3 linked regions of the Lepisosteus oculatus genome follow. The protein of the gene in region 1 purifies or fractionates together with the protein of each later gene. This does not show direct contact. Links are inferred from orthologs where the notes say so. Each region holds a gene or a part of one and is shown in the gene's direction. Other genes may lie near its edges.

Region 1 (10,385 bases):
GAAACAGTTCACATTTCGTAATATCCGAAATACAGCCCCGAGACTGATGAGAACACATGTAAAACCTCTTTACTATTCTTAAGATAAAATAATAGTATCGTCAACTATAGGTGACACATCTTAATTTCCCTTCATGCACGACTAATGCCTTTAAAAAATGCTATTATTATTAGGAAGAGCCAAAGTCTGAGTTACTCATTAAAAAACAAACAAACGTGTTGACGTGCGGTCCGCTGTGCTGCGGTGACCCTGCCTGTTGCCGTGCCCGCCCTGCAGTGTACCTGCACAAGATCCTGAGGAACCACACGGCCCACGCCTGCGATGGCCAGCAGCTGGCGGTCACATGCCCCTTCAGGACGGCCGTGGCGGTGCTGTCGGCCTTCTATGGCCGCCGGGTGCCGAGCGAGTACCTGTGCCCAGGTGCAGCCCCCGAGGACGGCGCGGGAGGGAGCACCGACTGCACGTCCGGCATAGCTGCCCAGGTATGGAGCCACGGCTGGCGGGAAAGACGTGGAGATCATTCGTGGTGTGGGGAGCTCCGTGTAGGGTAGGCTTGCGCGGACACGCGGGAACCCGAACGCTCGAGTTCGCGATCCGACGCGGCTCTTCAAGTCGTTGACGTGTTTGCCGTCGCCTAAGGAAGCGCGCAGCCGCGCAGCCGGTGTGGAGGTGAGTTTACGCGGACCCAGGAAGGATATTGTAGCACCCTACTCAACAGGCGCAGGGCCGGAGACAGGCAGTGGGGTCAGGAGCAGCGACGGGAGACTCTCCACTGACTCTCCCTCTCTCCGCACGACAGCAGAAGGTCGTGGACGAGTGTCAGGACCAGCGATCCTGCCAGCTGCCGGTGAACAGCCGCGTGTTCGGACTGGACCCCTGTCCCGGCACCAGCAAGTACCTGATCGTGTCCTACAAGTGCAGGCCAGGTGGGACACCGGAACATTCCGATCTTAAATGTTACTGCGAGCAACATGTGAACATAAGAGGGTTTGCAAGCGACGGGAGCTCGTTCGGTACAAGGGCTCACACGCTTGGCTGAGCAGCCTGATGCCTGCTCCCACCACCCTTTGTGTGAAGAGGTACCCCCCCGTTCTCAGTCCTTAATGCTCTTTCCCTTAGTTTGCACTCACGCCCCTCTGCCACACGCCTCGCTGTTGAAAACTCCTGCTGCATGAGGGGAGGTTTTATCCGAGTTGCCAAAAATGAGGCCTAGAACTAGTTATCACGTCACCTGCCAGCGGTCAAATGATCTACTGTCGGGGAGAATGGTGCTGACATTGTTAACTGGGGTGTTGTTATTCTCCTTAAACATGAGGTCTGGCAGCTCCCAGCTCCCAGGGTTTTCCAAAGGCCGTCCTTTCCAGCAGTGCGAACACTGTATCCCGAGTGAAATGAACGCTCGTCTGTTTCAGCAACACTTACAGTGCAGCCGATATGGTGCAGTTCAGCTTTTAATATACTACGAGTAAACAGTACCGTTATTTGTAATTGCTATAGGTCAATGTACTTCAGTTTGGTTTCAGATTTAAATCAGAGGCCCTGGGGAACACACGTTTCTTAAAAAACGCTGCCGCCCCAGCGTGCACAGATTAAAAACACGCAGCTAATTTGCGTGCCTGTTCTCCCGCGTGTGGCCCCACCCTGCAGAGAATCACCGCAGCAAGCTGGCGTGTGAGAACGACAGGCTCCGGCTGGTGTGCCGGAACGACACGGTGCTGGCCATCTACTCCGCCACCTTCGGACACCTGCTGCACGGGAGCCCGCAGTGCCCGGACGAGCCGGCCTCCGGGCCGGACATGGGTGAGAGCACAGCAGGGGGGCTCTGGGGAGGGGAGGAGAAATTAGTTAACGTACTGTAGTTTGTCACTGCCCGGAGCAGGGTAAAGACCCTCGACTGCAGACAACCCTCCAGGGCAGTGTAGTGCTGTTCTGGCAGCGGGTGTCCAGAATCACTGGGTGACAGAGCCGGTTCTCCGACCACAGGAACCGGACTGTACCGTCAGGGCATGTTCACAACCCCTTCAGCCAGTTTGCAGAAGGATTGTCTCGGACCCAGCAACTAGCGGCCGCTCACAAATGTACCTGAAGGAGCGCAACAGCTCTCACCTTGGACCCCAGGATATGCATCAGATTTTGTAGGTCACTTTGTGGGCACCCCAGGTTTTTAGAAGAAGGAGCTTCTTGGCGATATGTTTTATCGGCTTCAATGAATACATTTTTTTTTATCATAGCATTATATGCTGAGGGTAATGTAGAGAATAAATACACCCATTCACATTAGACGTAAAAGCGAAAAGCTTTTCACACGGGGCAGTAACATAATTTTTTGTTTGCGAGCAATTGCCCCCTCTAGTGGATAACACCTGCCATCGCACTGTCATTTAAATTTCGTCGACTCGGTGTCGAACACTTGCATTGCATCGAAGAAAAAAAAACGTTAGTACCTTCGGATTAACAAAAAAGACGTGAAGAAAACAACACGATTATAAAGCAGCACAATCGGTATGAATGAGGCCGATCGGACAACCCTGCATTGTTGTGGTGCTTTGCAGAGTGTCTGTCCCCGTCGGCTCTGAGGAAGGTGTCTCGCAGGTGTCACGGGAGACCGAACTGCTCGGTACTCGCGGACACGCAGAGCTTCGGCGACCCCTGTTTTCCGGGGATGAAGAAGCACCTCCGTGTGTCCTATGCATGTGGTGAGTGAGACTGGGTAAAAACGCAATTTAAATATTTGTTGTCACGGGCAAATTTTGCGGCCTGCCTTTGCCCTGCATCTGTCAATGTCCACGGTTAATTTGAATAGATTGAAATGACAGGAAAAGGAGGACTGGAGAAAGATGAGAAAAAGGAGAGGAGAGTGTTCAGCCTCACTAGCTCTTTTTTGCTAGAGGCCAACTGGTCCTAGATCTCATCCCACCTCTTCCCCTTCTTCCATGACAGAGAAAAGCTGAGCAGCTTGTTCCACACTCCCACCACACTTTGTGTAAATAAGAGCCTCCTGTAATCAGTAATCAAAGCCCCTGACGATCTGCCTCAGGCAGTTGCACATTGGGATTTTGATCCCTGTCTGTCAGCCAGCTTGCCTTTTATGTTTTTTGCGAGTTCTCTAGATGAGGGCTCCTTCCCTTGTGTTTGTGACTCTCCCTGTCTTCCAGTGCCCAGAGTTCTCCTGGAGGAGCTGGGACGGGGCTCTCCAGACCCTTTCTCCATCTCCGACTACACTCACGGTGAGAGACCCGCGGGCTGTCCTGGAGCTTTCACGTTTATCAGCGCTCTTATCGGACAGCGGCTTGCAGTATCCACACCAGACATCAGAGGACACGAGACAAAGGGTTCCAAAACCCACAGTGGCGAGAACACTCCTTTCTGGTTCAGCATTTGTGGCACCTCATTCGTGAATTATGAGTATGGATATCGAGGAAAATAGGCCAAAACGTGCGAGCCCCTAGTTTTTGTATCAATAATCGCTGACTCTTTAACTATCTTGGTTTTTCTCCCATTTTCCTGATCTTTAAAGTGTTAGCAAGAAAAGATCTGAACAAGCGATGATTTTATACATCTTGCTTAAACTCAACGGGTTATTTAACATTATTTATTGGTCACGCCAACGTTTAGAATCCGTGTCCAAAAGACATCTCTGTCATTTTCCTTGCACACGCCGGCTCACCAGCAGAGATGCCATATTTCAGTCCCAGAGCAGCGTGAAGGAAATGACAGCAGATCACAAGGCGATCAATAGAGATACACGGCCCATCTGCTGCCTTCGCTGAGAGCTCTGCACGTCCCCGGGGTTGAGGCAGGACGGCCTGAGGTGCCCCCGCTGGCAGGCTCCCAGCACGGCACACGCAGGGTTAGACATACTGGTCTGGCCTTCTCAGCGGCCCCTAAGCCCAGTCCCTCTTCACCCACAGGAGGCTGGTACACTGGCCCCGGAGTGTCCAGGCTTCATGGGAAGGTGGTGGTTTTTACCAGTGCTTTGGAGGTCTTTGCCCGAGTCTGGGGTACGTCGCTGTGTGTTGTGCTCAGCCCCAGGGGCCTCCGTGTCTGGTTCAGTGTGGTCTGGGCGTCAGGCAGAGTGAAAGTGAGAGTGTGTGGAGAAAGGTCCAGGTCTCTAGTGGCTCCTAAACAGCGAGCCCAGGGCACTGCAGAGGCAGTAGCTCCATGAACGCAACAAGAGGAAGGACTAAGTCTGCATGCCGGTTCTTATTTTACCCATCCTATTACATATTAGCAATCCCCCCCAGTTTTCTGTTTCTGTTACTGTACACGGTGTGTTCTATTTGGTGTGAAACACTGACTCTGGCAGCCATCAGGGTGCTGGTGTCGTCCCTGTTTGAGCTGTACCAGACAGAGCGGGCCCGGCGGGCCTGACGAGCCTGACGAGCCTGACGAGCCCCGCCCCTGCCGGCTCTTTCCCCAGGCCTGCCCGAGACGGTGGCCCTGTACTTCGTCTCGGGGATCTGCGCCGGCCTGGTCTTCCTCCTGTGCGTGTTCGGGCTGAAGTCCATGGTGCTGCGGGACGTGAAGAGCCTGTGGCTGGAGCTCGAGGTGGCCCGGAAGGCCCGCCTGGCCCGGAAGGCGGCGGCGCTGGCGCCGGCCCGGCGGGAGCTGATGGCGGACCTGGAGGACGACAGCTCCTCCGACTCCTCGTTCCGCCGCCTGACCTGGGCCTACCGCACGGCCGACACCCTCTTCAGCTCCGAGCTGACCGTGGAAATGGAGGAGAGGGGCGACGGCAAGGAGCTGCAGGAGGGGGACATGTGGCTGCCGGGCGACTCCAGCCCCTACGCCATCCACAAGATCCAGGCCTCCGGCCCCTAGGGAGCGGCACGCCGGAGTTCTGGGACAGCCGGGCTCGGAGTGACCCGGATCAGCTCATCACGGGCTCAACGGGACCCCTTTAGCAGCTTCTCCCAGCTTCTCTACAGGGGCTGGAGCCTCAGAGACGCCTGCAGGACCTGGAGACACGCTGCAGTCCAGCCGGATCGGGACCGGAGAGCCCCACCGTAAAGAAAGAGACGTAAAAAAACCCACCCGGAAACCTCTTGAGCGCTGAAACTTTATTTCTGTGAAGAAGGCATGAGAATTATTATTACTATTATTATTGCATGGTTTGTGAGCATTTGTCTAACAAAAAAAAATTAAAAGCCTTTGTTTACAATTAACAACTGTATGTGATGTACAGTAGCTGTACAGTTGTCTCAGAGTTTAACATGAACTTCAATGCTACAGATATTGAATGGATTAATAAAGTACTGAACTGGTTAACATTTCTCTGGTGCCTAAAATGTTAAATCAAAATTATGGTATGAATTATTCCTTTAATATTTTTTGTACCTAAATCAGCAATTAGTTTTTTTTTAATGTGGTACCATAGTGCACAGTTAAAATGTAAAATGCATTATCTGCAGCTCTTGTTAAATCATGAACATGTAAAAAGTATTTTATATATTGACCTTTTAATATTTCCCTCATGTTTTTTCACTTATTACTTGCTTTGTATTGGGGAAAAAAACAATTCTAAATATAATAAATAAAACTAATAATATGTGGTTGTTATCTGTACATTTTATTTTATTCGGTTTTCTGATATGATAGTTTTGGATCCATAATAGAAAATACCACGTCAACAGCTACTTGTCGTCTCTGTCAGTTGTCTAAGATACAGTTCATTACAGACGGATAGTTCAAAGTGCTCACATTCAAAATCAGACAGTTTTGGGACAAAACAAAGTGACGAGATTAAGGAGTTACCGGCTTTGTGTGGGAAATAGTCTTGGATGACAGCAGCAAAAATTCGTGGAAATATGCCCCACGAAGAAAACTCCATCGCTGGTCAGCTGGTCGAAAGAAAACCGATAAAATAACCTGGACTTGACTTGAGGCGACCTCACCTCTTTTGCTGACATTATTAACATGTAATAGGTTTATTCCATGCTGAAAAAAAGAAGAAAGAGAACACAACGTTTCGGCCGTGGAGCCTTCTTCAGGTGTCAAGGTTTGACACCTGAAGAAGGCTCCACGGCCGAAACGTTGTGTTCTCTTTCTTCTTTTTTTCAGCATGAAATAAACCTATTACTTGTTCCTTTGCAGCCTACGCATGCTGACGCAGCTACCCACCTGCATTATTAACATGTGCATTTCTTTAAAGAAAACAGTAATCAGGAATTTATCTTTCTTTAACCGTGTCAGAAATTAAACCTGGGGAGCACAGCCCCTTCTGTAACTCGGGGAGACGCCGATTTTGTGCGCGTCTCTTTGACGCGGCCCGTAACGTAAGACAGGGTCTTCCCAGCCGGTAGAGGGCAGTAAGTTTCGGAAATGGGGGTATATTCTTGCAGCCGCACCGCCAGGACTCTTTCTGTCGCTCGGCCGTTTTAATCCGGCTCCAGTTTCCAGGTAAAGCGCAGCTGTCGAGTGGGAGCGGAGGCGCTGGAGCCGGGGCCTGGGAGAGTCTGAGTGCGCCGCGGTGTCGAATAGGGGGCGCAGCCGAGGACATGCGACTTCTCGCCGGCGAGGGCTGCAAGACAACACTGACCTCCGGGGCAGCCAGAGCGGGTTACAGACACGACCCAGTCCGCGGACTGCGGGAGCCTCGGGATTAGTTTTCTTGGCGAGGGGGAAGATCGGGTTGTGTTACTCCGGCCCTGCTCCCGGGACACAGGTATTGTGAGCGAGGTTGGTCGGACCTCGGAAGGCACCGTGCGCCTGGTAACCCCGAGCAGGAGACCGAGAGCCCCGGCTTGTCGGCTCTGCCAGACCCCGGTCTCCAGCATTTCATTACCATTCCTCCTGGAGGAGCAGACTGCGGGGGAGGAGTGTGCCACAAATAAATACGGGACCTGGGGAAAGAAAAGAAAATACGGCCGAGCTGTGACCATCATCACACCCTTAGTCGCTGATGGAGACGTCTTCAGCATTCGGACTCTGCAAAAGCCAATGTATTGCAATATCCTTTCATTTCTGTACTTTTTTGTTTTCCGAGTATTTCCTGCCTCAGAAATACCATGCGTCTTCGTGTTAGTGAGGGAGGCACGCAAGTTGTGATAATATGCAGCGCAGGTGACTTACGCCGGACACTTTACGTCCCGTTTAGAAATGTCAATATATCTCTTAATCGTTCTTTAAAGAAAGGGGAACAAAAAGAACGGTGCTTTTATATGTCGAACCGCATTGAAATATGTGAAGGTGATGTTCAATAGTCATAATCCAGCCGTAGAAACAGCTTGATCACACGAATCGTTGAGTTTGTGGGCATCACCCCCGGTGCAGTGTTGACAGGCACCCACGCAAGCAGGCCGGCTTGGACCCAGAGTCAGTCAATCTGTCTTGCAGCAGCCCTTGAGGGGGTGTGTTTGATACGCCCTTGTGTCCTTATCTCTCTCCCCGCCGTCTTCAAAGGCCGCACGAACCTGGCAGTGAAAATCAATCTCCGTGCACGCAGTGTAGGTTTATTGGTCATGTGCGACATCCTGACGGGCTGTAAAGCGCAGGTAGGCTCGGGGTCAGAGTGCTCTTCCCTACGGTCCGCCCTGTGTCGTTTGAAAGGAGATCTCCGACATTGACAGGGTCTGCACACGTTATGACGAAAGGCATGAGTTAGGACGGCTGTGGCGCGCTGCAGTGTCACCGTGAGCGTTTTCATTCAAGGTTGGTTTGTGTTCAAAAACGTGTGGCTAGGTCTGTGATCAGTGTTTACCGTTGATCCCGAAAACGTGTACCGGTGGGACGCGGGAAAGCGTGTGTAGGCACGGCCGCGGATTTGTACATGGCTGGAGAAAACGTGAGGAATTTTGTTTTTTGGCGTTAATAAAAATGTTCCGATTGCCAGAACCCTTTAAAAATACATTACCTGCAGGAATAGACGCGGGCAGTCTTTGTTCTCGTCGCTGGTGTCGCGGGGTCGCCCGGGGCTGGTGGTGGGTGACTTGCAGATGTGTGCGGTTTCCAGCTCTGGCGCTGTGGTTTGGTTGCAAGGATGAGGCGTACTGCTAGTCTCCTCCTTATCGCTCTGGCACGCTGAAGAGGTTAGTGCCTCATTTGTGTGAGGCTCAGGACAAGAGACATGAGGTAGCAATGCCCCATGCCTCCTCCTCCTCCTTCCCCACCCTCAGCCCTGCCTCCTTAACCTGCCGCCTCACACCGTGAAAGCCCAGGAGGTCAGAGGTGGACAGAAGGAGCCCAGGCTCCTCTCCCTCATCGAGTCCGCAGGGGAGTACAAGTAAGTATCTTCTCCTCTCCGTGCTGCCTCATGCAGGCCTGGTCTCCAGTGTGGAAGCAGAGTCTCCGCGAACCTGAACAGAGCCAGGCGCCGTCTGGCCCAAACCGGCTGGCTGGCTGGCTGGGACAGTAGAGAGGCGGCGCTCCACGCGCTGTCCTCGTCGCCATTCCTGTGTTCTTGTCCTGTTTCTCCGAGGGTGTGTGCTCTGGGCCCAGGAGTACGCATTGCACTTTGGCACCTGTGACAGTGCAGTAGCTTTCTGGTGCTGCCGGCTGCAGAAGTCTGCGAGTGTAAAACTCGGCTTCAGGGTACACTTCCAGCAGTAAAGCACCACCTTCAGGGGCTCGGCGGGCACAGGCCTTCCCGAGGGTCTTCTTGCTAGTGAGGCTGTGTGGGAATTGAAATGCATTCCTCCACTTTGTCACGGCTTCATCCAGTGGTGGGGGAGCTGGAGCCTGTCCCAGCAGGCAACAGGGGCAGGGTAGGGCACGGCCTGGGTGCGACGCCAGCCTGTCACAGGGCACACACTCACACAAGGGCCAGCCTTGCCAGAAGCCAATTAACCCACCAGCATGTCTTTCGACGTGTGATCCAAACCCGGGGAGAACGTCCGAACTCCACACAGACGGCACCCCAGGGCCGGAACCGGACCCTGGCCCCCGGTGCTTCAAGGCAGCAGTGCGTCTCACTCTGCCATTGTCCTGCCCGAAAGAAACATCTGTATTTTCCATTCTGAAAAGGCTTTGGGATAGAATATTGCTTGGTTGTCAGGTGCGCTGAGACACGCAGGACAGAGCAGCACCGTTTCTGCTCACTCGTTTGTTTTTAGGGGATTACAGTTCCAGCCAGCCAAGAAGCTGGGCTCATGACTTTGTTGACTCATGCAGACAGATGTTCACTCAGTTTCCATGTAATATAAGCGATTGACAGCGTCTCGGTTTTTTTTCTTTGCGAACGGCACGAGACTGGTGTGGGCTGTCATTCTGCATCACAGGGCGATGTGTGGGCAGTGCTGTAGGCGGAGTGCCATCCCCTCCCCTAGTGCACTGTGCTCACAGATAGAATAAAATGTTATCTCCAATAATAATATACTAACTAGGGCCTTTTATCAATTTGGTCTGCTGAATGCTGTCTGAAAAGAGGCCTTTGTTGTCAAGTGTGCTCATGGGCTCTTGTACAACTTGAGACCCGTAACTGTGTGGCTTTCGTGGCACAGATGACATGCAAATGGAGTGATTGTATTGCTTGCAGAAGACCTGTGTCCTTGACCTGTTCCCTGTTCTGGGGGCCCTGGTGTCCCTGCCCTGTTTCAGAGTCCTGCTGCACACCATCTCTCTCCTGATGGAGGGAGGTATTAGTAGGCATTGTGGTTTAATGCATGCCTTAAACCTTTCTCCCACTGCGATCGCGACGGCTTTGTGCTTTGCTATTGTCCTTACTTTTCCGATGGCTGCAAAAGCCGGGATGTTTTAAGTTATCCATCAGCCTCGAAAAAAGGTCACGAACATGAAGAGGGCATTCAGCCCCTTTTCCCAGTTTGACTGCTGGGAGTTCAGGGTTCTGGGGGTCTCCTCAAGTTGGTTCCCAAAAGAATCCAGGGTATCAGCTTCACCAACATGGCTGGGGAGCTTGTTCGAGATTTCCAAAATCTTTTGTGTGCAACTTACCTGTTCTGAACGCACTCCCCTTCAGATGATATTTTTAGGAAGTTTCTTCAGTTCTGTTAGGCAGTGTTGTTTTATCTCTGCGTTCCTCTGTCTTAAGTTAAGGACCTGTATTAAAATTAAGCTATCATCGAAATGTTGCAACAGCACGACTGCAAGACAGTCTGTGAGGTGCCACAGGTTTGCCTTTTGTAAACCGTCTTCCTTGTGTGGATGTTAAGAGACAGTTTTAGTATTCATGTTTTCAGCATCAAAAGGTGCAGTGAGTGTGGTGCAGAGGTACAGAATGATCCACTAATTGTGTGCACCAGACCAGTCGGTGAGGAGTCCCAGGTGTGATGATCGGGACAGGAGTGTCTGGTTGGTACAGTATGTCATTGGTAGTGATTGATGCCACCTTGACTGCGCAGTTCTGCATTGATCTTGACCGGAGCCCCGCCTGTTGCTTTTCCTGCAGGATTCATCCTGGTTCGATACAGAACATCCTCATTTGTAACAGT
Region 2 (9,698 bases), on another chromosome or scaffold:
GGGGCAGAATCTTCTCCATCTTGAAGTGGAACTGCAGGAAGAACTGGAGACAGAGAGAGACACAGGCGGTTAATACAGACACTGGGCACAGCCAGACCACCAGAGCTACTGCCCTGATGTCCCATTAAAACATTAAAACCCAGTCTTAAACATTACTCTGCCTTTAGGTCCACCTGCCAGGTGCGTGTCCCTTACCTGCTTGGTCTCTCTGTTCCAGTGTGTCCAGAAACGGTTCTCGCCCTTGTCTATCTCCCTGCTGGGCACCTGAGGGCAAATCAGATCAGTTTGATTAACTGGGGACCAACCCGAGTCTCCTTCTCAGGCCTCTCCTCAGCAACCAGGGGCAAACAAGTGTAAAAACCACCGAAAACACTTTTATCCTTCACCAAGTGAGTGAAATATGTAGGTGAGAAGGTCAAGGCTGGGACAAAAGCTCGGGCTGCAGGCTGTTCTTTGTAAGCCAACACAACAAGCAGAAACAAGCGATTTCTGTCAGGTTACATTACTTTTTAAAAAGAACGTAGAAAGAGACAAGACAAGGAGCATAATGGCTTTTATGCTACTAAAGTTAATTGCTCCCCAAGACCGTATATCTCCTAAATCCCTAAACCCAGAACTGGAACTTTCCGGAGTCTCAATGACCACTCATCAATGACCCGTCCAACGCCCGTCCCCCCCCCGCACACCTTGAAGGCGATCGTCTCGTAGGGCTCGGCAGCCAGGAGCAGGTACTGCCAGCGCCGGTCAGGGGGCTCGATTCGCTGCTCATACGCCGACATGAACCGGTGACGAGGGGCGATGCCTTCTGCGATCTCGGGGTAATCGATCTGGGGAGACAGGGAGCTCACAGTGTGTCTGCTGTATCACTCCTGCACTGAGGGGTCAGTGTCTCTGCTGTATCACTCCTGCGCTGAGGGGTCAGTGTCTCTGCTGTATCACTCCTGCGCTGAGGGGTCAGTGTGTCTGCTGTATCACTCCTGCGCTGAGGGGTCAGTGTCTCTGCTGTATCACTCCTGCGCTGAGGGGTCAGTGTCTCTGCTGTATCACTCCTGCGCTGAGGGGTCAGTGTCTCTGCTGTATCACTCCTGCGCTGAGGGGTCAGTGTCTCTGCTGTATCACTCCTGCGCTGAGGGGTCAGTGTCTCTGCTGTATCACTCCTGCGCTGAGGGGTCAGTGTCTCTGCTGTATCACTCCTGCGCTGAGGGGTCAGTGTCTCTGCTGTATCACTCCTGCGCTGAGGGGTCAGTGTCTCTGCTGTATCACTCCTGCGCTGAGGGGTCAGTGTCTCTGCTGTATCACTCCTGCGCTGAGGGGTCAGTGTCTCTGCTGTATCACTCCTGCGCTGAGGGGTCAGTGTGTCTGCTGTATCACTCCTGCACTGAGGGGTCAGCAGAGACTGGGGTGTACCACTCCTGCGCTGAGGGGTCAGCAGAGACTCTGGAGAGTACACTATATACCATTCCTGCTCTTAGGGATGCAGGTGGATAAACAGAGCTGAGAGTTGGTCTGTTCAATCCTACCTGGAAAAGGAGACTCTGTTGACCAGTCTCTGGGTCCCTCTGTTTTGTCACTGTAGGGAAAGAATATTTAGTTTCCATTATTAATTAAAAACATAAGAAAATAAGCATTTTAGAGACTCAGTGGTATGCAACATGCAGATTCTGTGCTAATATTCATCCTCTAAGCCTTACAGAAGGTATTCTCACTCTTCTTAAATCTTGACAGTGAAATATTTAGAGCTATGTCATTTTTACATTAAGAATTTATTGCAAAAAAAGAAGAAGAATTGTTTTGTACCCTTTTCTAGAGTGACAGCATTGAATCTCTTACCAAAATGCAAAGCATCAGCAGAAGGAGAAGGCTGAAAATTAATCTTTTCTGTTGGGCTTTATTTTGCTATTCATTATAAGGCTTATTTGACATCTCTACCAATATTTCTGGTCATAATTTTAAAGTAAGGGATTAGTAAAACATTTTTGGGGATCTCAAGAGGCCTGACTTCTCACACCAGCTGTACCCCAACCCAAAAACTCTCTGATGACAAGCAGTAACACCCCACTCAGTAAGGGGAAATTCCAGTTTGACACTTTCTTCAGGAGAATTATGGGGACCCCCTCCTTTGGCAAACTGCATCTGCTTCGCCTGCACGGACAGATCCACTGGGTCGGGAGTCTCCAGACCCGGAGGCAGGGGATGCTGGGCTATGCCTCACCTTTGTATCCCGGCCTCCCGATCTTCACAAACTTCTTCACCTCTACCTTCACCTTCTCCGGCGCGGGCTGGGCTGGGGCCTCCTTCGCCTCCTTGGCTGCTCGTCTCGCACTGAGATCGAGAGGCAGGGCCAGAGAGACAGGGTCACCCACAGGCAGAGAGCCAGACAGGGTCGCCCACAGGCAGATACAGGCAGGGCCAGAGAGACAGGGTCACCCACAGCCAGAGAGACAGGGTCACCCACAGGCAGGGCCAGAGAGACAGGGTCACCCACAAGTAGATACAGGCAGGGCCAGAGAGACAGGGTCACCCACAGGCAGGGCCAGAGAGACAGGGTCACCCACAGGCAGGGCCAGAGAGACAGGGTCACCCACAGGCAGAGAGACAGGGTCACCCACAGGCAGGGCCAGAGAGACAGGGTGACCCACAGCAGATACAGGCAGGGCCAGAGAGACATGATCACTCAGACAAAAAGGCAGAGACAGAGAGACGCACAGGCAAGTAAACAGACAGTGAGCCAAGCCGACACTCACACTAACACAGGTCAGAGAGACAGACAGGTCAGAGCAGGGTCTGCAGGACACAGGCACGCAGACGTACAGACGCAGGCAGACAGCAGCCGAGACGGGTCAGAGTGAAAGAGACGGGCTGAAGGAGACGGACGCTTTGACAGCTCCACACACACACAACCAAAGAACATGAGCTCCACTCACAGGTTGGTCTGATGCTTCTTCCCTTGCGTGTGCGCCAGGTAGCTACCCTGAAAAACAAAGCACAGCGAGGCAGCGGCGTTAACCCCAGGCCGGGACAGCGGGGGGCGCTGTGCTCGCAGGTCGCCCGCTCACCTCGTTGTTGTGCAGCGTCAGGCACAGTTTGCACTCGTAGGAGCCCAGGTGGTTCTTCATGAAGTAGGGGTCCTTGTTGATGTCGATGGTCTCCAGGGCCAGCTGCCGCAGGCGCTCGCGCCGGTCCCGGTTGCTCTCCGACGCCGAGGCGACCCCCCCGCTCCCCGTCTTCCCCCCCGGCCGGTGCTGGAAATCCATCCTGGCGGGCGCGCGGGCTCAGGGACACGCTCTCTCTCGCTCGGCCGCGGGTAAAACACCGGGCCCTGGGGGGGTGGGGTGGGGGGAGACACTGGTCAGACTCTCACTGCTCCACCAGTCCAGCACCACCAACAACAACAACAACAACAACAACCCACCACACAGATGGGACCCCGCGGCGCCCCACTCAGGAAAAATAATAATCACTCATTGCACTTCTATAGCGCTTTTCTGGACACTCCACTCAAAGCGCTTTACAGGTCATGGGGATCCCCTCCACCACCACCAGTGTGTACCCCCACCTGGGTGATGCGCCAGTCCGCTCCCCACACACCAGCTCTCAGTGGGGAGGAGAGCAGAGTGATGAAGCCAGTTCAGAGAGGGGGATTATCAGGAGGCCATGATGGGTAAAGGCCAGGGGGGAATTTAGCCGGGACACTGGGGTAACATTTTTCTTTTTGAAAAATGTGATGGGATTTTTAATGACCACAGTCGGAACCTCGGTTTTACTTCTCATCTGAGGGATGCATTAGGGCCTACTTGTCCCACTAACACCTCTTCCAGCAGCAGCCTCAGCTTTCCCAGGAGTCTCCCCTCCAGGTACTGGCCAGGCTCACACCTGCTGGGCTCCAGTGGGGCTGCCAGCTGGGAGCCGCAGGGTGATATGGCTGCTGAAAAAAAAAAAGACACCTCCTGAAAAACGGACAAGGTGAACTCACAATAAACACGGCTGTGGGAAAACTTTCCCCACAACAGGGACCTCCGGCAGAGCTGGGGGCAGTTCCTCTGCTCGCTTTCCACAGCTCTCCACTGGCCACTGGCGCAGGACTGGAGGACGACAGACGATGACTTGACGATCGGGCCTATAAATACATTGAATTAAAGTTTAATCCACATTTACAGCAGCGTTTTAATCCGCGGTTAACGTTCAGGGCTCTGAACTTCAAAACAGAGGATCGTTGGAACCAGAGAACCAGCAGATGCTTATCTTATCACTAAGAAACTTCATAAGCTTCAGAAACCCGCGATTTAATGGTGAACTATCGGGGGTTTGAGAAGGAGCTGCACAGCCCCGCCAGAACACCAACAAGTAGTGATTAACGAGTAATTAATGGATAACGCAACTTAATACATCTGTAACGTACCGTAATTAATTAAAAACCGTGGACAAACAGTTTAAAGTCGATGCCTTTCTCACACTTAATCTAAAACATTACACGCAGACGTTTCGGTCACTGAATAATTTTTAAACCGGAAAGGTCACAAATAGTTACGTGAAGATCGAAGGGCGCTAATATTGATTACAGAGAGGATTTGTTAATATCTTATTTGTTAAAATGAAGTAATTTTATAATTCCTAAAACAAAGGTTACATTGTAAGAACACTCCCTTATTAGATAATTACAAATCTCACAGTGAAATGTTATTTTTAAAAAGTAACAACGAGGTGTCCCGAATCTAGAAACAAATTTATCTTAAAAGCTACCAAACTTAGCAAACCTTAAATAGCATGTACAAGCACCCAAACTATTCACATACATTTACAGTTGTAAAAATGTATTAATTTCATTTTTAAAACAAGTATTGTAGACATTATAAGTAACATTTCGAACGACTACCTTACCAACAACACACGCTTGTAACTTCCGGTCAAACAGTACATGCGCAGGGAAACCAAACTTTATTAACAATCTCTTCGCTGTGACATGACCAGTAATTCAAAATAACTCTTCATTTAATTTTGTTAATGCGGCATATTCGGACAATTTTTCAAATACAAAACCTGTCATTTCAGAAACTGTCCAGTTGTGTATGTTTTAAAAATAATTGCACCAAAAACGTGTTCAAGATCACATTTGTCACATGACATTTAAAATTGACTACATGTCCCAGAAATCCTGCCACGCAAACACGACCGTAGAAAGCGTTTGGCAATCTGGGATTTGTAGTTTTTTCTTAATGCGAATTAAGGACGGAGTGAATACAATAGCAATTGGTTTACACATTTATTAAGAATAAAAAAAGAGAAAAATAAGACTACGGCAGCCACTACGAAAAATTAGCCACGAGTGGACGAGACTATTAAGACGTAGTCTGTATTTTACTATGGCTGGTATTTAACGCGGAAAACCCTCACCGCTGACCACCGTTTCCGGGTGCGGAGCGCAGCTGTGTCGCAGGGGAGGGTCCGGTCCGGCGGTGGAAAACCGTGACCCCGGGGTCTGTCTGCCTGTGAGGCCGCTAGACTCGCAGGGCGGAGCGGTGGGCAGGTGTGAGAAGCTGCGGAGAGAAACGCGCAAGACCCCGTCGCCTGGTAACGCGAGTCCGGCTGTCCCGAGTGGGACAGGGATCGCCGAGATCCGGGTGGGTGTGTGCGTGCGTGTGGCAGCCGGAGCGGACGGCGGTCGCCGGTTTCCCGGGGCGATGCCAGGCCGGCGGTAGCGGCGCGGCGGCGGAGGAGGAGGAGGAGGAATGCGGTTTAACGAGAGGGAGCTGGTGTCGCTCAGCCGCCAGCCCTCCGAGAGGGCGGCCCAGCTGGGCATGCGAGGACCCAAGAGAGGCGACGGTACGGACGGGCACACGGGGCTCTCCCTCCCCTCCCTTCTCCCTGCCGCTCCACGCGTGTCTTTTCCGTGTCCACTTCCCTGTCTGTCTTCGTCTCCCTGCCCTGCTGTCGCCTGTCCTTATCCGTTAGGTCGCAGCTGTACTCATGAAACGGTGTTTGCTTATAACTGGGACTCGGCGCTCTGTCTCTTTCTGTCCTCTAACTGGACCGGTTTCACCTAACCGGACATGAGGCTCATTTCTACTAACCGGTGTGCTTCTTGTCTTCGCATTTGTTTTCCCAGCTAGACTGTTTAGTCTCTTTGTTTTATCTTACAAAAAAAAAAATCCAGGCTAAAACCGTAACCTTGCCGAGGGAAGGGTATGAAGATGGAAGGAATTACGATGTGTAAAATGTTTCCAGGAGGTCTGCAGCTCGGAGATGCTTTCTCAGAGTCTGCGGCCCCCCGAGATACACACCATTGTTTTCTCTTTCTGGCACAGAAAGGGAGCTATTTTTTAAGGAAGCGCCCGTCTGCTGTCTTATCGCAGTTATTTATAGCCGCTGCCCCCCCGTCTGGCCCTGTGGGAGAGGAACAGAAAAAGTGAGGGAGAAGAACAGAGACGGAGACGTGCTTTCTGCTGCCCTGATCAGACAGACAAACATCCTTCCCCACAGTGACTAATCTCAGCCCAGCATTCCCACACCTACCAGACCCAGAACAGCTCCCGATCCTGCTGGGGAGCCAATGCAATCGAGCTGCAGCCTGGTGTGTGTGTGTGTGACACACAGCGAGCCTGTGTCATATGTGAAATGGCCAAGCTGTTGTGTTAATTGTCATGTTTGGTGGCACTGTAACCCATCGGTTGTGCTAGTGAAGCTCGCTGGAATGGTGGACCAGCAGAAGGACAGGCCAGAGAGAGAGAGAAGGAGGAGGAGGAGGTCACAGTTGCCAGGGGAAACCGGTCTGGTCCAGTCCGCCTGGCTCCAGCCCGCGGGTCACATCTTGAGACATGGCCATGGACACCTAACTTGGCGATACTGGCGTTGGGCGACGCCCCTTGGTCACCTGTAAGAGCTAAGACCTTAGCCGGAGCCCAGCAAGCATCTTGCAGTAGAGGGACATTGCGCTGGTTCTGATCGGGATTCTCGGGTCCAGCCTGCTGGTTCTGGTTCTTGTTGCTCACGAGGTCGGGGCCCTGCTGGAGCCGGTCTCCTCCGATGAGCCGCGCGCTGTGGGGTCTGTGGGACGAGCTGTACCGTGCGAGTGCGGGGAGTGCTGCTCGGAGCAATGGCTGATCTCTCTCTCTCTCCCCCACCCCCCCCCCCCCCGTCTGTGTCCCACAGTCATGAAGAAGAGGCTGGTAAAGCTGGTGGTGAATTTCCTGTTCTACTTCCGCACAGATGAGGAAGAGGTAAGGGTGGGGGCGCAGGGGCGGGGGCACCCGGGGGAGACGGTGAGGGCTCGGTGTGACGGCTCTGTGTCCGACTGTCCATCTCTCTCCAGCCTCTGGGAGCCCTGCTGCTGGAACAGTGCCGGGTGGAGAGAGAAGACAGCCAGGCCTTCTCCATCAGTGAGTCTCGTGGGCGTTTGGGGCTCTGGGCCCGGATCCCATTCCAGTCCGGTCTGGTCCAATACACCCAGTTCATTCCAGTCTGGTCCAACACACACCAGTTTACTCTGGTCTTGTTCAATAGAACCCGGTCTATTCCAGTCTGCTCTGGTCCAGAACAACCCAGTCCATTCCAGTCTGGTCCAACACATTCCAGTCTGTTCTAGTCTGGCCCAATACCACCTAGTCTATTCCATTCCAGTCTGGTCCAGTACAACCCACTCCATTCCAGTCCAGGGCTCTGTGTACACTCTAGTGGAGTTGAGGGTTAAGTCCAGATCAAGACTGGTAAGACCTGTGCAGACCTGTAGTCCAGTCCAGTCCAGTCCAGTCCAGTCCAGTCCAGTCCAGTGCCTGGGCATTGTCTTCCTGATTGGGACCATTCCTCTCCGGTGTCCGCAGCCTTCCTGGACGAGTCGGAGCGGAAGTACCTGTTTGAGTGTGACTCTCAGGAGCAGTGCCAGGATTGGATGGACTCCATTATCCGAGCCAGGTCTGTCTGTCGATCCGTCCCGTTTGTCCCAGTGGGAGCTGTGGTGGGTTCTGAGAGTGTTCAGACTTCTTGGCGCATGTCTGTGTGATGTTTCCCTGTGTGGCGTCTCCCACAGCTATGAGTCCATGAGGAAGAGCCTGATCTTCTACCGCACCGAGATTCAGAGAATCACAGGGAAGGTGAGATACATCTGCTCAGTGCAGTGTTGATGTACTGGAGTGTCCAGTCAGTGTGTCTGTATTAACCCCTCTCTCTCAGTGCAGTGTTAATGTACTGGAGTGTCCAGTCAGTGTGTCTGTATTAACCCCTCTCTCTCAGTGCAGTGTTAATGTACTGGAGTGTCCAGTCAGTGTGTCTGTATTAGCCCCCCTCTCTCTCAGTGCAGTGTTAATGTACTCGAGTGTCCTGTCAGTCAGTCATTAAGCTCTATGTCTCTCCCAGGATCCCCTGGAGCAGTATGGGATATCGGATGAGGCTCGTTTCCAGGTTAACAGCTCCCTGAAAGCCAGCGACAAGGCGACCTAACAGCGGGGACACCACACCCCACCTCCCCTACAGCCACACGGGGCTGTTCTTCACACCTGCTACCCCACTGTAACCACACACCCGAGAGCACAGTTACCACGTCCACCCCACCGAGAGAGAACTGACCTTTCCAATCGTCTGCACTGTGAAGACCGCTTTCACAGGATCTTTCTGAGAGACCTGGGTCACGAAAGCAAAAATTGGATCAAATGTGCATGCTAAACATTTGTCTGAATTGAAGTTGAAGTTGGCAATTGGGTCTTGATCCTGAAAGCCTTGTTATATAATCTTCTAGTGCTTCTGCACTGGACTTGATGTATAAGATCACAACCTGTGTGCATGTTTTCTAAAATGTGATGCTCATTTCTGAGGTGTCTGGAATGAGGCTTCTGTACTCTGCCAGTGTTTTGTGGAGAGAGCAGTGGATTTCTAGGCTCTTACATGAGGCCTATGTCACTGTGATAGTTTGATATCTTTGCTTGAGGGGGGCCCTCTCTAAATAGTTTCAGTGTTTGGAGACAACCTGACGTTTTTAAGTCGGGTAACTACTTCCCTCTGAAAAAAAAACAAAACGCTTGTTTAAGTAGAGTTTGATTGCACCCAGATTTGCAGTTGTGTACATAAGTGCATACAAAGTCTATTTTTTTAAGCAAATTCTGTAGACATTTATTTTCTTTAGCATTTTCTTTCCAGGTACCTTTAAAATCTAAAAGGCTGTATTGATAAAGTGTCAGTATTTCTGTGCACATGTAACTCCTCTGGATGCAGCTGTTAATGTGTGTGGGTTTAGCGTGTTAGTTTTGTGTGAACTACGTTGTGTCCTGTTTCTAGAAAGGAGGAGGGAACTCCTTGGTTCTGAAATTCTGTTGTCATGCAAGATTTAGTTTTTAAATTGCCAATTTCTGGATGCAGCCATTCTTAACTGCTGTTTTGTTTAGTTTTTTGACCACTTATAAAAATAATTTAAGAACTCGGAGTGAAACCATGAAGGTTCTGGTTACAGTCTTTTAGGACCAGAGCTGGTTACACCTGCGTGACTTAAAGAAAATTAACTTTCTTAAGATGACCAGAAATATAACCGCAGCTACACCCTGCCTGTAAACAGGTGACTGAGGGGCCTCTTCAGACAAGCCTGGCCTGGCACCCTATGTCACAGGGCACCAGTAACTCAGGGCTGGGGCTGTAGGCGCTTGAGCTGACGTTCCTGTTTCACACCACGCTTGTCTTCTGTCAGTGCTGTATTTGATTTTAGGGCCAGGGCATTGGTT
Region 3 (10,001 bases), on another chromosome or scaffold:
AAGAAGATACTCTCGCCACAATATTTGACAGCAGGCATGAAGTTCTTCTTTTGGAATACAGCAATGGTTTCTTCCTGGCTATTTTCCCACAAAAATCATCTCATTTCACTCTTCTTCTGATGGTTGTGACATAAACACTTACATTTGCTGCAGACAGGCCTGATGCTCCTTAGATGTTACTCTTGGGTTCTTTGTGGCTTCTTGGGTTATTCTATTGGGGATATCTTGGCAGAACACTCAGTCCTGCTCAGAGTTATTGTGATTTTCAATAAGCGTTTGACTGTGGATTAATGGAGCCTCACCCTGTTTGATCGAGCCATGACATGTGTCCATTAACCTGGATGGCGGGAACCCACAAACCAACTCGGGTCCAAATTCTATAGAGGTACATAAAAATAAAGGGAAATGGACATTGATTGTACAGTGTCTTAATGTGTCCTACAAAAAGCCTAAAAACAGAAGTTATCGTGAAATATTATAAGTATGATACTTACTCTAATGCTTAGGGTCATGGACACCTTACTGTGCTGCCACTGAAAATTTGAATAATGTGCTGTGTTTTTGTGCTCTGCCACTCTCGAAAAAAAAAATACCAAACAGAAAGTTTGGTTGTGACCCTCCGTCTATCCACCCCTCAGAGAATCCAGAAAAGAAAAAATAACAGCCAAATAGTCTGTCCACGGCTATCCCATTCAACCACAACAGAGTGAAATTCATCTCACTCTCCAAGGTTGGAAACAACTAATTCCTAATCTTAGGAATCAAAGAGTGGCATTTTCTAATTGACAGATTGTCTATTGATGGTCATGGGCAGAGAATTAACAGTCCCAACCAGAGAACATGATTTAAGTTTGTTCAGCTGGTGCTTTTTGCAATATCTTCAGTATAATCCCCAAATCCAGGTTCTATTGGTGTGCAGTGCAGCAGGAGGTGTGGTGTCCCCTTATGTTCTCCTTCTCTTCCCTCTGCAGTTCATAGATACTTAACCATTGAGTTATTAAGAAAAAAAGAATCAAGAATTATTTTAATCAGAGCATTAAGAGTAATATGCATGTATGAAATACAGAATTGTAAACTTTTTAATGTGCTGCAGTCTGTCTGTTGAATTCTTTTCATAGTCTTCAAACAACGTCTGAAAAACCTGATTATTTTGTAAAAAGTTGTTTCCCTCTATTCTTTCAATCCTGTTTTCAGGCTGAAAATACAGCAAATATATTGAAATACAGCTGAAGGTATACTTAAAATGTCTACTTAAGATACTGTACTTAAAATGTATCTTTTATCGTGTTCCAGTTAAATTATTGTGGCAAGCTACTGTATAACTTACCCTTCACTAAGTTATTTCTTTAAAACTTATTTTTTGTCTAAATTAGCTCTTCTGGTATGACGTTGTCAATTGTCATTTACAACTGTAGAAAACATACAGAACGGTACCTTTTTTTATATTCTTGTGGTCCACTAGGTGGAGGTAATGTAATGGAAATTCACAAGTTCTACACAGAAAAAATAAATCTGCAAATCTGCATTAGTTCTAGAACACAGGTATAAACGTTTGAGTTGATGTTTCACCTGAAATACTACAATTTTGAATTCTAAATTCTTAATTAACATTTTGTCTAATTGTTCTTAAATTTTGTTATATTGGTTTACCATTATAAAACTAATTTCCATTTGTTTTTAGCAGTTATTCTTCCTGTTAGAACGACAGAAATCACATCCTTACCTACAACCTGAAACCACCTAAAATGTTCTGTAAAATGTCAGCTGCTATAACTCTGTGTGGAGCTATAACTGTGTGGGAGTCTGGTTAGAAGTGTTACAATTATGGAGTGAATTACATTATCAGAACAATTAAGTAACTGAGACTAGTTGGAACAGAAAACAGAAGATATTCAGTCCTCCAGGAACTGAGTTGGAGACCCCTGTTGGATATGGAGCCTTCCAAAGGAGACAGTTCAGTTTCCTTTGCTGAGAACTCCTTTGAACTGATGTGACTTTCTTGACTCTTTGCTCCTATCTTGGTTATGAACTTTCTTCTTTATATACAAAAATATTTTGTTCAGTAAAATAAACCTATATAGATATATTTTTAAACACTACGCATTACTCACAATTAAAAACAGTCATAGTCTTCTGAACTGATATACTTATCTGTAATTTCTTGATTCATTAAATGTAAACCTTCATGTATTCATGTAATCAAGGTTTATTTATTGTATTATTTAATGATTGCAAGACGGCAACTCGCAGTTAACTTGTTTTTAGTGATATCTGTCAGCATTGGCCATATTAAAGATAGAAAAAGAAGAGAATGATACACTTAGGTACTTTACATATAATCCCTGTTACAGGGCAGTGTCACAGAACGCAAGAGGGGGCAATGTTCTTTATGATATACAGTACCTCTTCTGTTTTTCTGTTCGTACTAGCCATTTGTGATATTAACAAAAGCTGAAGGAGAAGTAAAAAGTAAAATATATATATATATTTCAGCTGCATAACCTCCTTCAAGTGTGTTGGGTAACAAATGTCAGACAAAACATCTGAAAAGTAAATAAGTAAATCACTGAGTGGGGAAGAAGATGTCAACTAAGTTTAAGGATCATTTTACCTTTTGATGTCTTTCTGATACAGCAGACTTTGAATTTCTTTGAAAGCATACAGACTGCAATAGTTCCTCATTTTACCTCTCCTTACCATGATTACACTGACTATTCTGTCAGTGGCCTTTCACCGGGATTCAGAGCTTGGCCCAGGGCTAAGAAATGCAGAAACATTTGCCTTTTAGACCCAACCCTGATTCCAGGCCGAAGGGGCAATTGTGCAAAGACCTTAAGACCATGAGAGACAGAAAAGACAATTTGAAGGTTCAGGGGACAGGGGATGCCAGTGTATCGATTGCAACACCTGCTGTTTTTTGCTCAGGAGTATAGTAAGTCATGTTTAGCTTTGCTTTGTGCTTTGGGCCTTTAAGTGAATTTGCTATCCTTGTGTACTTTGTAACAGTAAAGAAAGCAAATCTGCACTGAACGTGAAAATTAAATTGTGAAATTGCTGTACTGGTTTCACAATTCCCCCTGACCTAAACGTTCTGTTGAAAAAAATTTGGAAAGAACTTGATAGGGAGGTAAAAACTGAAGAGTGCAACTAAAATGCATAAACAGAGAATAGAATAAAAGGGAAAAATATAAAGAAATATATTTTAGAGTTGTTGGAGATTCTTGGTTACCCAAAAGTGGCTTACTCCACGAGGTGGGCTTGTGGCAACTTGGGTCATAGCAGTTAAGGAACCAAAACCTGCCACATGCTTAAACTGGAGCCAGGATGAACCCAGTGCCATGAAGAGTCCGAAGACGCAGGCACTGTGGCCATAGAGCTTTTGTTAAAGGAGTTTGTCTAGCCATCTTGTATGTAGGTCACCTTTCAGCCTTTGCCACTGACAGACCAGCTACTGTATGTGGGTTGGCCTCTTGACTGGTGTTCCCTGAGGGTGTGAGATCAGGCAGCGGGTTCAGGCAGCTTGTGGTTGGTGAGGGTAGCGCCCCAGCTCTTGCTCCTCAGTGCGCAAAGCCTTCCTCTGCACACGATCTCCAGAATAAGGAATCTCCATTCAGATGGTGCTCATCTGGTTGGTTGTACTGTAGTTTTGTGATCCAGTGGGCCAACTTCCCCTTGGGCTCTGTGTGGGAGAGAAGCCAGTGGAGGGTTGAAAGATCCATGCAAAAAGAGAATAGGAGCCTACAAATGTCATGTCACGTCATTTGCCAAACCGCTTTTTACCATATGATGTCATAGGAAGCCGGAGCCTACCTGGCAAGCAACATGTGCAAGGCAGGGTACACCCTGGATGGGGCGCCAGTCAATCACAGGGGAAGTGCAAGCCAATCATACATGTGGACAATTTGGAGACCACGGTAAAGGCAGAGGGCAGAAATCTGGCCCGGACTCCGGGATAACTCCCTACTCTTATTGAGAAATGCCTGGGGATCTTAAATGACCACTGAGAATCAGGACCTCGGTTTAACGTATCATCCAAAAGACGGGCCCGCAAATGTGGTTAATGTAAATTGGGGAATTGGGGAATTATTACTGAATGTGAAGTATACCCTGTCTGCTGAAAAGGTATTTTTCAAATAAATATTATCGGGTTTTGACATTCTCTAAACTTTCTTCCTTTCTACAAAGCTCTCCTGACAGCTGCCTCAATGTCAGCCTAAGAACCATTTGAATAACTGTTTTCTTTGTTGATTTACATGATAAAGACACTTCTAGTGACATTTTAAGCAGGGGTGGCACAGGTAGGATATTTGCACAAGGTAGTGGAGGTCAGCAGCAAAGATCTCAAGATTCTCACTGGGCTGTGACACACAACACTCGGGTAGTGTCTGTAGCACCAGCATGGTCACCACGCTTCCATAGAGATGAACGCATCTAAAGACTTTAAACAGGTTTCGCACTTCTTTTGGCATTTTTTCTTGCCCAGACAAGACTTGGCCTATCTCCAGCATGTTTCTCCGAGCTTCATCCCTGGTGAGAGGTCCTGTCTCCCTCTTGGCCTGCATCAGGAGTCTGCTTTCCATTCGTCTTTTATGCCTTTGCTTAGACAGGTGAGGAGATTTCTCCTATACTGACAATTCCCCAGCAGTGTAGGCTAGTACAGTAGGAGAGCAGGTTCACTAAGACTTATTGTCCTTAAAGATTACAGGTACTGTAACTGTAAACACAAGGGGGTTGGGTGTGGAGAATGAGCGAAGCTTCTGCTAGCAGTGCATGAGGTATAGAGAGAGGCCTCCCCTCCTTATACAGGGTGGGGATAGAGAAGCACGTGAGCTAAAGGTGACGGGTGGAAGGTCAAAGAGACGTTTAACACCAGGCAAATGTTACATTATTATATAAAATAATTTAATATTAGTATGGTTTATGATATCCATATACTATTTTAATTACGTTACAAGCTGTATATTATACGGTTACAATAGTGAAATGGCAGGTCCGCTGCGGTTCCCCCTAATTTAACGCTCTATTTTAAATAACGTTAAAGGAATCAAGGTCCTGTATTTATCAAAACTTGAATTCCTTTTGTTGTCAAAAGGGGATTTCAAGAACGTAAGCTAAGCGCTTGGCAAATACTGAATTTCATCCAAAGGTCCCGAAGCACACATCTAGGAAAGGAGCAACATTTCAATTCGGTGTGCATGACTTGGGGGTAGAAACCAACACGTATCAATTACATAATACATACATTGGGTTAAGGCTAGAAATGCTATGATCAAAATTTAAAACATTTAATACATTTTCTACACCACTTGGTTATAAGCGATAACGATCAATACAATAAATAACTTGATAAAGCTGATGCAATGAGACATATTTTATGGCCCATTTACCTCTACGTAAACCATACAGCAAACCCATATTCATTTTTAAATAAAGACGCATATCTATGTTGATTATGCCTGGTATAAAAAATGTAGTTTAGAAACTACTAGTACTGTATATAGCAGCGATTTCGTAGGACAGCGCCCTCAACTCGTGCAGCGGAGAAACAGTTGAACCGTATCTGCAGGCTGACTTGTCATAAATATCTTGGTGTTGCTTCCAGATCCTTTCCGGTTTTGTTCTCTCAGTATAAGACGCAGGGCTCCACTAACTTCGCGCCGTGCTCGGGATACAGGACTAAACTGAAGCTGAAATCTAGCGAAACTCAGTCCGAAGTGGATTACTTAAACTAGAGTCCTCTAAACTGCCTTTTCCCCTCCTCGGGTCAAAGGGCAGTCTGTATTTAGTGATGTATTAAAATTAGTTCACCAGCACTCCCAAGAAGAACTGCCTTGTTTTCGCTCAGTGGCTGGAAAAGGGAATGGCTGATTGAGGAACCGATAAAGTAACTTTTCAAAAATATTTTAAAATAAATAAATGAAGCAGTAATGGCTTCGAAGGTAAGGTGAATTTTATGCTATTGTTTTTTAAAGTTGCATGCATTTCTTATTCATTTTCTAACTGCCTCGATTATGCAGAAGCAAAAACTGGAGGTACAGTTTCAGCCTGAACTAAAAAAAGGTCTATTCAGCTTAGTTAAAAAACAGTGTTTTTAATCTTAAAGGATGTATTGGTTTTGCAGTCGAACATAAAACACGCAATCGTATGCACCTTTAGCGTAAGAACTCTGTTTAAGCGCCCTGTTTATTCTCCATCGAAATATGTGCAGTATATATCATTAAAAGTGTCTTGTGACATTATTCCACCCTTCCAATGCGGGTCATATCAGACGCAAGTAATGTTGGGATTTGTAGTTTCTGGACACGCGAGGTTATATGTAACGTGAAAAATGCTCAAATAGAAAATTAACCCAGTAAATGAGATTGTATTCTTGTCTCAGTTTGTTTTACTAAGTGGACAAACTGCTTAAAATTGTGACTACAGCATGAGTACTACGTATGAAGATGACGTTGTAATATTTATGTAGCCAAACGTTGTTTTTTAAAAAGTTTTATTATTATACCTGCTTATGGATAAAGGCTATCAATAGAGTACCTACAGTACACAGTTTATACATTATGGCGAGAAAATTTTGACGTGTGACCTTTTAGGCAATATTAAACATCGTTAATAAAAGGGGGAAATGAACAGTAGTACCCAGAAAGTTAAAATGTAAATTTCAACGCAAGGTTTCAATTTAATTTGCAGTGTCAATTATTGGTATGTTCTTGATTAAAAAAAAATCAGACTGGGTGGAATCCTGCTTTTACAGTACGTACTGTATAGCATATGTTTTTTCCCTCCTTGAACATTTGTTTTGTAAAGGTTAGCTATATACAGTATTATTGAGCAGCAACTTGCAATCCAGCAAATAATTTTAATGTAATGACCTGTCCTGTATTTGGAATAATTTTCAAAGCATTTTGCTGTAAAACAAAAAGTGATTTTGATGCCTTCTGAATTAAGTTTTAAAGCATGAATCAATCAAGACACACCAGTTGTGATGGATGGATGCATTTAGCTTGTAAATGTTTTAGCTGAATATTCTTCTACACAAATGTAAAACAACTTAACATCTAATTTCATGGCACTATGTCATTAATGTATTTTACTGTACTCAGCAGTTAAATGCAGAGTCAGCTGCTTGCATTAGTTTTACATCAACCTAAAATGTACTGTAAAATATGTAAAAAACTATTAAAAATTATTAAATGTTAATATAACTAATACTATTATAGTATTATATAGTTGGCAATTCTTTCTCAGTGGTTTAGTCAATATAAAATATCAAATAGAGTTTGTCTGCATTGGTCCACATGTTCATCTTGTTGCTGTAATTTAAATACATAAAGACACTTTGAAATAGATATAAGGAAATAATTCAGGACAGATCCAGTAATTCTAAGATAGATTGAAAAAAATTGGATGCCACTGCAGCCCCCTGTATACCTGTATACCTGGGGCGATATGGATTACTTAAGAGGAAGAAAGTTTTACCTACTGTTCATGCTCCAATGTAAGCCACAGTGCACATTTGCAGAGTGTTCATGTCATTTTTACATATTCAAGTACAAGTTTAGAATTATAAAATAATTTGAAAATGTCAGCATTTTAATTTCATTTTTGCTACCTTTTTTAAATAGCCCTAGATTCCTTTGCTTCAGAAGTGTTTCTTTTGAACAGTGTGCAAAGTTTAGGCTTTGGATGTTTCACCAAACTTGTATATCAACACCATGTGATTCTGCTAAACAGAAATAATTGAAATCATGCATGAAGGTGTTTTGCTGTTTCTGGGTATCCTGCAAATGCAGTTCTTATCTATAAATATTTATACAAATATTTGCACTATTTTATTTCCAGTGTTTTTTTCTGCTCAGTGGTGATTCACGCTAATGTATTTTATTAAATTCTTTAAGGCTGAAGACATACAGTAGTATGCATGGTAAACCACTATCCAAAGAAATTAATATACTCTTAGTGTTTTATCCGAGAAATATTGTCTTATAGTAAAACATAATTAATTGAATGTTACAACAAATAATTTATCCAGATTCATAAGGCTATATCACTTATATATCACTGATTTTGTTTATTTTCCTTATATAACAAAATTATACAATGGTTAAGCTTTAATAAAATTATTTTTCTTTCAATTAGTATTTCACAGGCTGAGAAAGAATTTCTGAAATGAAATGGCATATCATATCTGTTTTGTAAGGATTGTATTGGTGACATAATGTTTTAAGAGACAGGTGCTGTTTGTGTAGTACTTTAAAACTAATTATTATTGATGTGTAATAATTACCAGTGAAATTATGTTGTCTGTGTAATTGTAACTTGTAATTGTAATGTAATGTAATTTGTTGTTATGGCTTGCAAAGCCCCTATGTCACGTAATCTCATACAGAAAGGAATTTTTGGGAAAAGAAACTGAGATCCAGGTCAATTCGTATACTATAAGTGTTTGGTGCTGAACATTTAAAACCTCTGACTGATGATTTGGATATTGTGTTATATAGTACCAATTAGGATATGTATCACAATATATATATACACACACACCACAATCACCCTTCAAAAATCACTACCTGACCATGCCTCAGAATATTTTTCATGGTATGAGGAATTGTTCTGTATTGTTTACATTTGCTGGGTGTATCTCAAAGTGAAGGTATCTGGTTGAGTCCACAATCTGAAAAAGGAATATTAAAAGCACAAGCACTTTTCTGTAGTGAGGTAGATGTTTTCATTGCTCTTATGAAAAAAATGACAAATAAACTGAGAGGATAAAAGATGAAGTGAAAGCCAAAGGATTCGTTCTTGCAGTTGACGATAGGACAAAAAACAAATTGCAAAAATGAAGATTACTTACTTTCATTGCGTTTTAACTACACTGGCATTAACAAGTCATGGATTTAAATTTTATGTTACTATACTAGAAAATAAAAGATATGTAGATACAGTATCCTTGTTGCAGCTGGTACTGTAGGTGCTGTGTGTAGCATGTTGCACTTACAGTACCATTATCCTGACAGGATGGCCTACTGTGATTGCCTCTGATCATATGTACAGCTGTACAGTGCATTTAAATCCAGTAATTGTACTGAACAAAAATGACCATGTTTATAATCTATTTTTTGTACTGTTTGAGTGCATCACATGTTGTATTATTGAAGATGTGTATGATCCCCATAACAGAAGGAGGGAAGTGAAGTATTTTTTTTCTTAGTAGTTTGTTAAATTAGCTACCCTCTTAATATAGTGGATTTGTTCTGGATCTCAAAACCTGCAAGATAACAACATTTGAGGGTGTATGTGTCAGAATTTATTGGTCTGTGAAAAAATGCAGTGCATGCGTTCACAGTCCTGCAACTTGGGTTCTGGTGACTATGATGAAAATACTGGAGAACATTTTGCTTTACATTTTAATTAACAATAAGAAACCCTCCTGTGTAAACCTTTAACAGTCTATATACACTGCATTTCTTGAAGAAGCAATCATTCAAAGAAAGAAATGAATATAAGATCATACAGGGAAGTAGAGCAGTTTTGTTCAGATACAGTAGCTCTGAGGTTATGTGACATTAGCTTCAGTGGGATAGTGCAAAGCAAAGTCAGATGTCAGTGGATATAGTATGGAAAAGCTTGCGTCCTCTGTTCTTACACCCAGAGTCTATTTAGATAGGTGCCATTTAGAACATGTTGAAAAGCTGAAAAAGTACATGTTGAAATGTGTGTATTAAAACAAGGTACAAATATTTTAAAACAATGAGAAATATGCAGGTCTTCAATGCTTACAGAGTGAGAGCAGGTACTTTAAGTACCTCATAAGTCTGAGCTGGATCATCAGGTACACCCTTGTTTCACAGGAGACTGGCCTTTTTGTACCCAGATACTTTCCAGGCTACTAAACTCCCAGGAACAGCTCTGTGTTTTCCCTGTAGGATGTTCTGCATACTATTTAAAAAGAAAAAAATAGATTTATTATTTTATCAAGAAACAAAAACAAAAGCAAGTTATGG

Evidence for each region.
Region 2: the proteins of ocrl (region 1) and plekhj1 purify together in Homo sapiens (co-immunoprecipitation; 3 studies listed by BioGRID and IntAct, counting the BioPlex papers as one, with this or other methods). This does not show direct contact. The link is inferred for Lepisosteus oculatus from reciprocal best matches to the Homo sapiens genes OCRL and PLEKHJ1.
Region 3: the proteins of ocrl (region 1) and snx9a purify together in Homo sapiens (co-immunoprecipitation; 3 studies listed by BioGRID and IntAct, with this or other methods). This does not show direct contact. The link is inferred for Lepisosteus oculatus from reciprocal best matches to the Homo sapiens genes OCRL and SNX9.

The regions. Positions count from the first base shown.
Region 1 is NC_090703.1:50,393,828-50,404,212, forward strand, and holds the start of ocrl (inositol polyphosphate 5-phosphatase OCRL), read left to right. Parts: upstream 1-6,254; 5' UTR 6,255-6,901; coding exon 6,902-6,949; intron 6,950-8,141; coding exon 8,142-8,221; intron 8,222-10,385. Other genes in the region: protein eva-1 homolog C, read left to right, coding at 277-482, 800-926, 1,648-1,800, 2,553-2,696, 3,156-3,227, 3,912-4,001, 4,421-4,821. UniProt on the Homo sapiens protein: Catalyzes the hydrolysis of the 5-position phosphate of phosphatidylinositol 4,5-bisphosphate (PtdIns(4,5)P2) and phosphatidylinositol-3,4,5-bisphosphate (PtdIns(3,4,5)P3), with the greatest catalytic activity towards PtdIns(4,5)P2.
Region 2 is NC_090724.1:8,582,014-8,591,711, reverse strand, and holds the start of plekhj1 (pleckstrin homology domain-containing family J member 1), read left to right. Parts: upstream 1-5,726; coding exon 5,727-5,820; intron 5,821-7,146; coding exon 7,147-7,214; intron 7,215-7,306; coding exon 7,307-7,373; intron 7,374-7,814; coding exon 7,815-7,905; intron 7,906-8,020; coding exon 8,021-8,084; intron 8,085-8,346; coding exon 8,347-8,430; 3' UTR 8,431-9,698. Other genes in the region: sf3a2 (splicing factor 3A subunit 2), read right to left, coding at 1-43, 196-264, 687-827, 1,521-1,570, 2,213-2,322, 2,925-2,971, 3,057-3,254.
Region 3 is NC_090697.1:22,099,194-22,109,194, forward strand, and holds the start of snx9a (sorting nexin-9a), read left to right. Parts: upstream 1-5,567; 5' UTR 5,568-5,927; coding exon 5,928-5,939; intron 5,940-10,001. UniProt on the Homo sapiens protein: Involved in endocytosis and intracellular vesicle trafficking, both during interphase and at the end of mitosis. Required for efficient progress through mitosis and cytokinesis. Required for normal formation of the cleavage furrow at the end of mitosis.